3 linked regions of the Nothobranchius furzeri genome follow. The protein of the gene in region 2 purifies or fractionates together with the protein of the main gene of each other region. This does not show direct contact. Links are inferred from orthologs where the notes say so. Each region holds a gene or a part of one and is shown on either strand. Other genes may lie near its edges.

Region 1 (3,650 bases), on a different chromosome or scaffold from region 2:
TATATTTTTAAACATTTTCTAAATGCTTATTTATATTTTTACATTTTTTGTTTTTGTGAAGTGCCTCGTGATTTTTATCTTGAGAGGCGCTTTAGAAATGATATTTTCTTCTTCTTCTTCTAAAACTGTCAGTGTTGTGCCGTCGTCAGGTAAAAACTCTGCACTATATTTGAATTTAAATCTGCCACCGCTATTGGCTAACAGGTAGGCTATGATGTAAACTGGTACATTATGATGTCACAATGCTGTCGTGAGCCTGTGTGTGTGTGTATTTGTTAGCGGCTCCGCCCTCTCAGTCTGCCAGGCAACAGCATTTGTTGCATTTTTCAAACAGGAAGCGGGAGTGGAGTTAGACTCTGGTAGGGGGTGACTTGCTCTTTAAACACAACTTATCAAATAAAGCAATTCAAAATTACTCAAACATCAACAATTATTACTTCTGTGCACCTGTAAATGCTACAAAATGTATTGAAAACAAGAAAAATAATACTTTAAATAAACATGTTAAATAAACTTTCTAGGTCATTCACAAAGTCACAGTGCCACCTTGTGGTGAAACCTTGAACAAAAAAGTTGCTTAAACTACCTTTACAGCTCGTATGATGAGTTAAAGGGAAAAAAAGAAGACAAAAATAGAAATAATACAGGAGGAAAGTGTAGGGTAAGTAAAATTCACAAAACAAGACACGATAAAATAACTACGTATGTTGTTGTGTATAAAGCGACTGGTGCATGGGTTGATTCAGGGTGGTGATTTTATTTATACATCTTGTGTGATGTATAAAGTCTGTCTTGGATCAAATGGACCTGTCGCGTGTGCCAGAGGGCAGGAGGTGGAACAGGTGGTGTGAGTCTTGTCCCTCTCAGGCCTGGTTTCTCTGTGTTCAACTAAAACCAAATTAAATACTAATCGACGTAATTTCCAGTTGCACGACTCCGCTTTGAACATTTTCAAAGCTTTCATGTTTGTGTTTTTATTAGGCGCTGTTTCATTGCGACCACATTCAGTACACCCTGGTGCCGGTGATCGGCTGGCAGGATCTCTCCACCGCCTTCCTTGAACACAAAGAGCAGGTCAATAACAACACACTTGAGTCTACTCGTGGATATGTACAACAGAAGGCTGATTAGGACAAAAACTGTGAAATAAATGTTTTGATTGTTTTGTAGTTTCGATACTTTGTTCTCATCAACTGCGGGGCGAATGTTGACCTCCTTGAGATGCTGCAGCCAGATGATGACTCCATCTTCTTCATCTGTGATACTCACCGTCCCGTGGACGTGGTTAATGTCTATAACGACACTCAGGTGATGTAGGATGATCAGGTTTTAGAGGACTAACCGCAAACTTTAATCCCCTCATATTGAACTTACTCCCTACTTAACCGTCATTCGTCCCCTCCACAGATTAAACTGCTAATCAAACAGGACGACGATCTGGGCGTGCCGTCGTACGACGACATCTTTCGAGACGACGAGGAGGAAGATGACGGCTCTGGAAACGACAGCGACGAAGGCTCAGAGCCGTCCGGAAAGCGGAGGAGGTTTGATGAAGTGAGGAGCATTAGCAGACGCTGCAGAAAGGATGCCAGAATTCAATTCAAAAATACTTTATTAATCCCAGAGGGAAATTGATTGAAGAAGAAGACAGCGAGGCTGACTTAGGCCTAGTCCACACGTAGCCGGTTTTTTTTTTAAAAACGAATATCTGCCCCTCCAAAAACTTGCATCCACACCACCTCGTTTAAAAAAAAACTGTCCACACGTACCCGGATAAATACGTTGTTAAGGACATGCCAGACCTGTAGGCGGCAGTACTTCCCCCGTTCTTAACCTCGTCCTTCGTCTGTGGTCTTCCGTAAGGAGCAGTAATTCTGCTTGCAAAAACAAACAAGCAGAAAGCGCTTGGACAATTGATAAAGCGAGCGCAGCTCTGAAGGCATCCATGCTGTCGGCTGGTGTAAACACAGGTCGCACACGTGATGTCAGCATTTTTGGTCGCGGAAAGTGACGTTGCGGACCTTAAAACTCCGGTTTTGTCCGTCCACACGCAGACACCCAAAACGGAGAAAACGCAGATCTTCACTTTGGCCGGAGTTTTTAAAAAGATCCGTTTTCGTGTGAAAAAACTCCGTTTTCTTGTGGATGACAGGCCAAAACGTAGAAAAATATCTACGTTTTGGCAGATCCCCGGCTACGTGTGGACAGGACCTAAGGCTTGTGGACATAGGACATATTGTGCTGAATTCACCTTTTGGAGCACTTTGTGCTGCCCTGTGGCTCTCTACTGCCTCTAAAAACACTCCACAGGTGAAAAAACATCTGTCCATTTTTTTTTCTGTAAGTATTTGGATTTAGGAATTATTTGCCTTAAGCAAGAAGTTTCAGAAAGTCCCCGTTTGTGACATCATAAACAGGGAAAACCCTGCATCACCTCTCTAGGCTAGAAGAGCAGCGACTCTAGGCCAAGCCCCTCCCAGCCAATCAGTGGATGGGTGGGCCTGGTCAGATCCCCGGCTACGTGTGGACAGGGCCTAATGCTTGTGTCGGGATTGTGTCGTGGCAGGGGGCGATTGAGAGGAGAATTGAAAGGCAGAGAGCGAGGAGGGAGTGGGAGGCACGGAGGTGAGATTTTGTCTGTTTTTATTGAACAGTGAGATATCTGTGATGTGTGTCTAACCTTTTGAAGTTTCTCAGGAGGGAAATCTTGTTCGACTATGAACAGTTCGAGTTCCACGGGACCTCTGTGAGTACACAACTCAGATCCTGAGCTTCAGCTGATATAAACTATACACAAACCCATCATCTGCCTTTGACTCTCAGGCTGCGATGATGTTTTTCGAGCTCGCCTGGGTTCTAACGAAAGACACCAAGGACATGCTCTGGTGAGCTTTCAAATTAAACATTTCTATAAACGACTTCCAGATCACAGAAATGCACGCGGCACCGTTCCGTTAAAATCCGTGTTTGCGTCTACAGGTGGGCCATCATCGGGCTGACGGACCAGCAGATTCACGACAAGATCACACAGTGAGGATTCGCTTTCTAAAGGTTTTCTGTAAATGTTTGCAACAAATGGCTCGTGGTTAGAGTTTTATTTCCTTTTCAGCATGAAATACGTAACAGATGTCGCAACGATGCAGCGGCATGTTTCCCGACATAACCACCGAAATGAGGACGAGGAGAACTCTTTATCCATCGACTGCATGAGGATCTCCTTTGAATACGAGTATCCTTTCTTTATCTTCTAACAGATCTTTGGGTTTTTTTCCGTTCTGTTTTTCTTAACCCCGTGATCCAGCCTGCGTCTCAGCCTCTACCAGCACTGGTCTCTGTATGAGAGCATCTGTAATTCTTGCTACACCTCCAGTAGCTTTAAGCTTTGGACTTTAAACGGCCAGAAGAAACTGCGAGAGTTCTTGGCTGATATGGGGTACGCATTTTCAAACCGGTGCTTCGTGTGTCAGCAGTAGAGAGACGGCAGCATCTGATGCTTCATTTCTTTTTGTGTTGTTGTTTACAGGTTACCTCTGAAACAAGTGAAACAAAAATATACATCCATGGACATGTCGATAAAGGAGAACCTAAGAGACGTCATTGAAGAGTCCTCTAATAAATTTGGGTATGGATGCGGACTTGTTCAACGCTTC
Region 2 (3,750 bases):
CCGCGTCGACCCAACCCAACCCAGGGCCGCGTCGACCCAACCCAGGGCCGCATCGACTCAACCCAGGGCCGTGTCGACCCAACCCAACCCAGGGCCGCGTCGACCCAACCCAGGGCCGCGTCGACCCAACCCAGGGCCGCGTCGACCCAACCCAGGGCCGCGTCGACCCAACCCAACCCAGGGCCGCGTCGACCCAACCCAGGGCCGCGTCGACCCAACCCAGGGCCGCGTCGACCCAACCCAACCCAGGGCCGCGTCGACCCAACCCAACCCAGGGCCGCGTCGACCCAACCCAGGGCCGCGTCGACCCAACCCAACCCAGGGCCGCGTCGACCCAACCCAGGGCCGCGTCGACCCAACCCAACCCAGGGCCGCGTCGACCCAACCCAACCCAGGGCCGCGTCAACCCAACCCAACCCAGGGCCGCGTCAACCCAACCCAACCCAGGGCCGAGTCGACCCAACCCAACCCAGGGCCGCGTCGACCCAACCCAGGGCCGCGCCAACGCAGGGCTACTAGTTGTTACTGTTTACTTCAGCAGCGCCATGGCCGATCCCTCCGGCCGGGTCCTCCTCTTGAAGAACTGCTCGATGGTTTTGGGTTCAGGGATGTGGTATGGCAACCCAAGCGTCGACTCTACAGACGCAGAGAAACGTTTAGCGTGTTGCAGATCAAACCCCTGCAGCTAAAGCAGAGCAGAGCCAGGGGAACTGACCTCGGACCAGCCTCTGGCTCTCACTGTGAAGCTGCTTCATCGCCTCCTTGCTGGCTCGAGCTGCTTTCCGTTCCTGGAGCCCCCAGAGACAATCAGTTTATTCTACCTTCAGTCCGAGTCGTCTACCTGGTCTAACGTGGTGCTGTATCCTACCGCTCGCTGGGGCTTCTCTGGGACCTCTTCATCCTCCTCCTCTTCCTCCAGGAGGGGGTCCTACAGTCACATTTAACAAGTTTAGTCAAAACTTCCTCCTGAAACACGTCCGGACTCTTCTCATCCAGAACACGAGCGGAGTTAGGGTCAGAGTGACGTAAACATCTTGTTCTTACTTTGTGTTTCTTCACTTTCTGTCTGACCGCAGCTCTGATGGCGTCCAGAGACTCCTCCTCCTCCTCCTCCTCCAGACCGGTGCTAAACAGCTCTGGATCACCCAGAGGACAGCCGCTGTCGTTCAGCGCTGGAGGAAGAGGAACGTCCTGATGGAAAGAGCAAAAGGTGACCAGTTTATTTTTAAGATTTCTGGATTTATTTGGATGAAAATTTCAGACGGAACTCACCTCCTCTCCTCCACCAGACCTCCTTCTCCTTTTCAGGCTTTCCACCACTTTGCTGCGTTTTTCTTTCTTCTTTCGATGCCTTTGACTCTTCTCTCTTTTATTCTCCTCCTCTTCCTCGTGCTCTCCATCGCTACCATCAGATGCACGAGCCTTTCTGTTGCTCCTCTGTCCTCCTTTATTCCTCCTCTCTTCGTCCTCACTAGAGGCAGGTACCGCTTCTTCAGACAGCTCCAGGCGTCTTGGTGCCTCCTCTTCCTCACTGTCACTGTCTCTGATGGCGTTACGCCGAGGCTTCCTGTGAACTGTGATGTCATCATCTGAATCTGAGAGAAAAACTGATTTAGGGGACCACGGTTTCTCCTGATTGTCCACGAGCGTCCTGCAGCAGGTCTGTCTCACCTGGACACTCATCTCCTCTATCAGACGTCTCTGGGACCTCCTCCTCTGCAGGAGGACCCATCCCGCTGTCCCAGTGGCTCTGTGGTGCTGCTCGGGCCAACGCCTCAGTCTGAAGAGAGACAGACTTCAGAGCCTGTGTGTGTGTGTGTGTGTGTGTGTGTGTGTGTGTGTGTGTGTGTGTGTGTGTGTGTGTGTGTGTGTGTGTGCGTGTGTGTGTGTGTGTGTGAGAACCGGGTCTAGAACCCGTAGCTGTTCCACCTCTCACACCAGAGCCGTTTGACCTGGTTCGGACTGGTTTCCGGGCCACAGAGAGACACTGGTCTGGGACCAGTCCTGATCAGAAACACGGTCTGGGTCAAGGCGGACTAGCTGATCCCAGACCAGCTGCTAGCCGGATTCATGGCGCCTTCGGTCAGTAAAACAATGAATCAACGTCACAGCTGGATAACCGTGTCGGACCGAACGCCCAGCTGTCCGGTAACGGCTACCGGACCTTCGGACTGTTTGATGTGACTTTTTAACGGAGCTCTACCGAATTAGAACGAGGTGAACGGAAGAACCGATTCCTCGGTGTTAGCAGCTAAGCGGCTAACAGCACCTTAGCACCTTGTTGGTGACGTTTCCCTCCAGCACGCTGAACACACACCTGTCTCACATGTACCTGTCTGTACACCTTCCACTGACGCCGCCTGCTAGCGTCTTTACCTGCAGGTGAGACAGGACAAGGCTCATCTTTGTGCTCCGGTTGGTCCGCCCGCTCCCGGCAGGGACGAGGCTCCGTCCGCTCCTCTAACGGCTACAGCCGCTACCGACACCGAGAACAACGTGTCCGTGAAAAGAACTCTACTGCAGCTCCTTACCGAACAGCTAGGCCGCGTTTTACCGGACAGCTCCGCTTCCTCCCGCCTCACCCGCTCACCGAACACAAAGTTTACACTTTCGCGCGCCGTGACAGCTGGCCCGCGGTCTTTCACCAGCGAGCTGTCAGTCCAGCGCTTCTCGCCCTGCTATTGGACCATCTGTGACGGAGGTATCCGCCCAGTGTGACGACACAGTTAGTGGAGGAATTAAAACATCCACCAGCGCTGCGCAGGCGGGCGGCTAAGTTTGCTGCGCCCCACAGGATTCAGGCTTGTACTGTTTTTGAGACAGCGCCGCCCACTGTTAGCTAGCGTTCCAAGATGGAGTACGATCGGAAAGTTTTTTATTTTTGTTTCTACAAACAACTTCAATTAAATAAATATGATAAAAGCTTTTATTATTAAAATTTACTCAGGAATTTTCAAATTTGTATTCTGAGAACTACTTCACTGAAGCGTTAACAACGAATAAACTATTTTAATAAGCTTCACCGACAATTACATATTATTTATAAATAACGGTTAAGCTTGAATCTGCAGTTGCAGTTACACGTTGATCCTTTAGAGGTCGCTGTCTCAAAACAGTACAAGCCTGAATCTGCGGTCTCCGGGTCTTCTGTAAGTGCACTTGGGCACGTGCGCAGGCTCGAGTGCACGACCGTGCGTTAGAAGAATCTCACCCCTCTCTCTGCAGTACGCTCAACATAGAAATACGACAATAGATGAACCCCGACTGGTTTCTGGTGGTACGCTGACCTCCTCAACACAGGTCCTGGAGAGACATCACTTTCCTCTGCTTTTCATGTCCTCCTATGGCAGGCACCATCTCTGCTTGAGCCACAACAGCTTGCCTTCTCACCACATTGTTCCTCCTAAAAGGCGTCTTTGCTCTTCAGCAGATTATGACGGTACCTTCTGAGTTTACGACCTTCAGGTCTTACTTCATATGATCTTGGGTCAGCTTACTGAGGAACAATGGCGTTTCTGCTCCATGCATTTTGATCTTGGCCTCTCACCACATCATCCTTTGTAAGCAGTCTAAGTGCCCTTGTGGTCTTGTCATAATGCTGTTTTTGTCTGCATTTTAGATTCTCTTGTTTTTCCAGAATCCATGCCATCCCAGTCTCTGACTCAGACCAAGGTAGGCTCCTTAACTTCAGGGTGTTCAGGATCTTTAATTGAATCCAATAAAACACCAAATAGAGCTCAGTGTGACAAC
Region 3 (3,650 bases), on a different chromosome or scaffold from region 2:
CACATCACAGCTGAGCTTCAGGTGGCATGTACTGAGTCTTATTTCCTGATATTTGGACATCCATCCCTGGATTGTATAAAATTCCCTGGATTGTATAAAATCAACATGACTACCACTGACTTGCAACACTGATGTTTTATCTCCACAAATAACACGAGTTTGAAGGAGTGTTGCTGTGTGGTGGAGTTGCTAATGCTAACGGTTAGCTTCTGCAAGTCGAGACAATCTCTGATGTTTAATGGACACTAAACTAACAACAACCATCCTTGTTGCGAGTCCATGAATTTTAAAGGGATTAATGCAACTTTTTCATATTTTTAAACCATTTTCTTGTGCCCCACCCCCTATCGCCCTCTGTGGTCAGAATATTTCACTTGCAGCTTCACAGTTGCAGGTCCAGTCTGATGGACTTAAACTTGAGCTTACACACCTGGGTCCAGCACGTTTCCTGCATGTTTTAGATCAAGAACACAGCTGATTTGTTTAATTTAGTGATAAATCTCCCCTGTAGACACTAAAGAAGGCTGGGAGACGTTTCAGCTGTTAGATTAAGATTATTAAAGACGAACGCACAACGAGGAGATTGGTTTTGGTTCTACAAACGGACATGAGGGGGTGCTAAAAGCAAGCCAAAACTGCCTCGTCTCTCTGTAAGTGACACTGACGTAGATCTGTCAGGGTTTTTTAATCCTAGAGTTTCAACGTCTATTTTCTATCAGAAGCTGGCGCAGGAGGTACAGTGGGGCAAAAAAGTATTTAGTCAGCCACCGACTGGGCAAGTTCTCCCACTTAAAATGATGACAGAGGTCAGTAATTTTCATCATAGGTACACTTCAACTGTGAGAGACAGAATGTGAAAAAAAAAATCCATGAATTCACATGGCAGGATTTTTAAAGAATTTTTTTGTAAATCAGGGTGGAAAATAAGTATTTGGTCAATAACAAAAATTCAACTCAATACTTAGTAACATAACCTTTGTTGGCAATAACAGAGGTCAAACAATTACTATAGATCTTTACCAGGTTTGCACACACAGTAGCTGGTATTTTGGCCCATTCCTCCATGCAGATCTTCTCGAGAGCAGTGATGTTTTGGGGCTGTCGCCAAGCAACACAAACTTTCAACTCCCTCCACAGATGTTCTATGGGGTTGAGGTCTGGAGACTGGCTAGGCCACTCCAGGACTTTCAAATGCTTCTTACGGAGCCACTCCTTTGTTGCCCGGGCGGTGTGTTTGGGATCATTGTCGTGTTGGAAGACCCAGCCACGTTTCATCTTCAAAGCTCTCACTGATGGAAGGAGGTTTTGGCTCAGAATCTCACGATACATGGCCCCATTCATTCTGTCCTTAACACAGATCAGTCGTCCTGTCCCCTTAGCAGAAAAACAGCCCCAAAGCATGATGTTCCCACCCCCATGCTTCACAGTAGGTATGGTGTTGTTGGGATGCAACTCAGTATTCTTCTTCCTCCAAACACGACGAGTTGAGTTTATACCAAAAAGTTCTACTTTGGTTTCATCTGACCACATGACATTCTCCCAATCCTCTGCTGTATCATCCATGTGCTCTCTGGCAAACTTCAGACGGGCCTGGACATGCGCTGGCTTCAGCAGCAGAACACGTCTGGCACTGCAGGATTTGATTCCCTGCCGTTGTAGTGTGCTACTGATGGTGACCTTTGTTACCGTGGTCCCAGCTCTCTGCAGGTCATTCACCAGGTCCCCCCGTGTGGTTCTGGGATTCTTGCTCACCGTTCTCATGATCATTTTGACCCCACGGGATGAGATCTTGCGTGGAGCCCCAGATCGAGGGAGATTATCAGTGGTCTTGTATGTCTTCCATTTTCTGACAATTGCTCCCACAGTATATTTTTTCACAGCAAGCTGCTTGCCTATTGTAGATTCACTCTTCCCAGTCTGGTGCAGGTCTACAATTCTTTTCCTGGTGTCCTTCGAAAGCTCTTTGGTCTTGGCCATAGTGGAGTTTGGATTCTGACTGTTTGAGGCTGTGGACAGGTGTCTTTTTTACAGATAATGAGTTCAAACAGGTGCCATTAATACAGGTGAGGACAGGTGAGTGGAGGACAGAAAAGCTTCTTAAAGAAGACGTTACAGGTGTGCGAGAGCCAGAAATTTTCCTTGTTTGAAGTGACCAAATACTTATTTTCCACCCTGATTTACAAATAAATTCTTTAAAAATCCTGCCATGTGAATTCATGGATTTTTTTTCACATTCTGTCTCTCACAGTTGAAGTGTACCTATGATGTAAATTACGGACCTCTGTCATCATTTTAAGTGGGAGAACTTGCACAATCGGTGGTTGACTAAATACTTTTTTGCCCCACTGTAGGTGTAGGAGACTATTTTCATGCTCAGCCTGCATGAATAACTCAGACAGATTCTAATCAGAAATAATCATAAAAAATATTTTTTCCGTGTTCTAAGTTCTTACTTCTGTTTCTTTAGTTCTTTGGCGTTGTCCACTAGACCCATGTGCACCAGCTGAGTCACCACATGTCGCCGAGTGCGGGCGCTGTTGCTGATTAACGACAGGAGAGTCTCCACGATGTCTGGCACTAGAAACAGAAACGGTTTCTTGAGTTTTTTGTTTAAGGCGACTCATTATTTGTTTTACTAGCAGCGTAACCCAGAAACAACAAGTCCCAAATATGAAACTAACTTAATGCAACATTGTTGTTTATAATCAGTGAACACATCTCATCCTCCTGGTGGTCATCTCAATCTGGTGACTAGTAACACAACAATAAAGATCAAGGCAGACCTTCTGAGTCCCGGTGCTCCAGGTAGAGCTTCCGCAGCTCCTCCTCCTCTTCTTCGGTCCACGTTGGCTTCTTCCCCTCGCTGAAACATTTAGAACAATGACAAAAGTGACAAACATAAACACACAAGCCCTAGGTTGCATTTTTAGTTTGTAAACAACGTCTGCTTGATAAACACAAACAAAAGCAGAACTCTCACCCCTCCTTCCTGTAGCCTTCGGTCATCTCGCGTACAGCCCCCACGTTCTTCCAGAAGAGCAGTTCCACATACGCCTTGTTGTTCTGAGCCGCCACTGAGAAGAAGCGGTTCACCACGTACTTGGAGAAGGTCACTAGTTCCTGTGAAGGAAGAAAAACAGGATTGTCTCTCACGTCTGACCAACAGTAGATTGGAGAAGCAGCGGTACCGACGCACCTTGTACGCGGCTGCAGCTGGATCGCTCATGATTCGATTGAAAATGTAGAAGACCGACAGCTGGAAGAGCAGGGCGTCCATTTTCAGGTCGACAGCCAAGCGGTGCAGCATTCGCGCTATGCAGTGGTTTGTGTGGGGGGTGTTTTTAGAGTAAGACTTTAACAGCAGCAGGTAAGGACGTACGACGGCGGGGTTGGCAAACCTATCAGAGTGGAGATGAGACAGAAGCTGTTAGGAGACTGTACCCACCCAGAGACGACGCTTTTACCCTCGCTCACCTTCTGAGGAAGTCCAAAAAGTTAAACTCTTTTTCAGTGACTTGAACAGACATCAACTCTTCCTCTTCTAACTCGACTCCATCATCCTCATCCTCCACTGTCTCAGGAGGTGGTCCTGAAATTAAAACGAGGAGCTAACAAGCTGCACAGATGCAGCGGCGCTGGACTAAAGGCAC

The links.
Region 1: the proteins of claspin (region 2) and cdc45 purify together in Homo sapiens (affinity purification with western blotting; 4 studies listed by BioGRID and IntAct, with this or other methods). This does not show direct contact. The link is inferred for Nothobranchius furzeri from reciprocal best matches to the Homo sapiens genes CLSPN and CDC45.
Region 3: the proteins of claspin (region 2) and timeless purify together in Homo sapiens (affinity purification with western blotting; 4 studies listed by BioGRID). This does not show direct contact. The link is inferred for Nothobranchius furzeri from reciprocal best matches to the Homo sapiens genes CLSPN and TIMELESS.

What each region holds. Positions count from the first base shown.
Region 1 is NC_091757.1:55,442,626-55,446,275, forward strand, and holds part of cdc45 (cell division control protein 45 homolog), read left to right. Parts: intron 1-981; coding exon 982-1,074; intron 1,075-1,170; coding exon 1,171-1,308; intron 1,309-1,407; coding exon 1,408-1,554; intron 1,555-2,566; coding exon 2,567-2,625; intron 2,626-2,697; coding exon 2,698-2,746; intron 2,747-2,823; coding exon 2,824-2,885; intron 2,886-2,979; coding exon 2,980-3,030; intron 3,031-3,109; coding exon 3,110-3,229; intron 3,230-3,301; coding exon 3,302-3,433; intron 3,434-3,523; coding exon 3,524-3,622; intron 3,623-3,650. UniProt on the Homo sapiens protein: Required for initiation of chromosomal DNA replication. Core component of CDC45-MCM-GINS (CMG) helicase, the molecular machine that unwinds template DNA during replication, and around which the replisome is built.
Region 2 is NC_091759.1:26,753,906-26,757,655, reverse strand, and holds the start of claspin, read right to left. Parts: upstream 2,539-3,750; 5' UTR 2,404-2,538; coding exon 2,377-2,403; intron 1,781-2,376; coding exon 1,672-1,780; intron 1,596-1,671; coding exon 1,273-1,595; intron 1,192-1,272; coding exon 1,045-1,191; intron 929-1,044; coding exon 869-928; intron 789-868; coding exon 716-788; intron 637-715; coding exon 534-636; intron 1-533.
Region 3 is NC_091743.1:49,124,130-49,127,779, reverse strand, and holds part of timeless (protein timeless homolog), read right to left. Parts: intron 3,590-3,650; coding exon 3,475-3,589; intron 3,399-3,474; coding exon 3,197-3,398; intron 3,121-3,196; coding exon 2,981-3,120; intron 2,864-2,980; coding exon 2,784-2,863; intron 2,578-2,783; coding exon 2,454-2,577; intron 1-2,453. UniProt on the Homo sapiens protein: Plays an important role in the control of DNA replication, maintenance of replication fork stability, maintenance of genome stability throughout normal DNA replication, DNA repair and in the regulation of the circadian clock.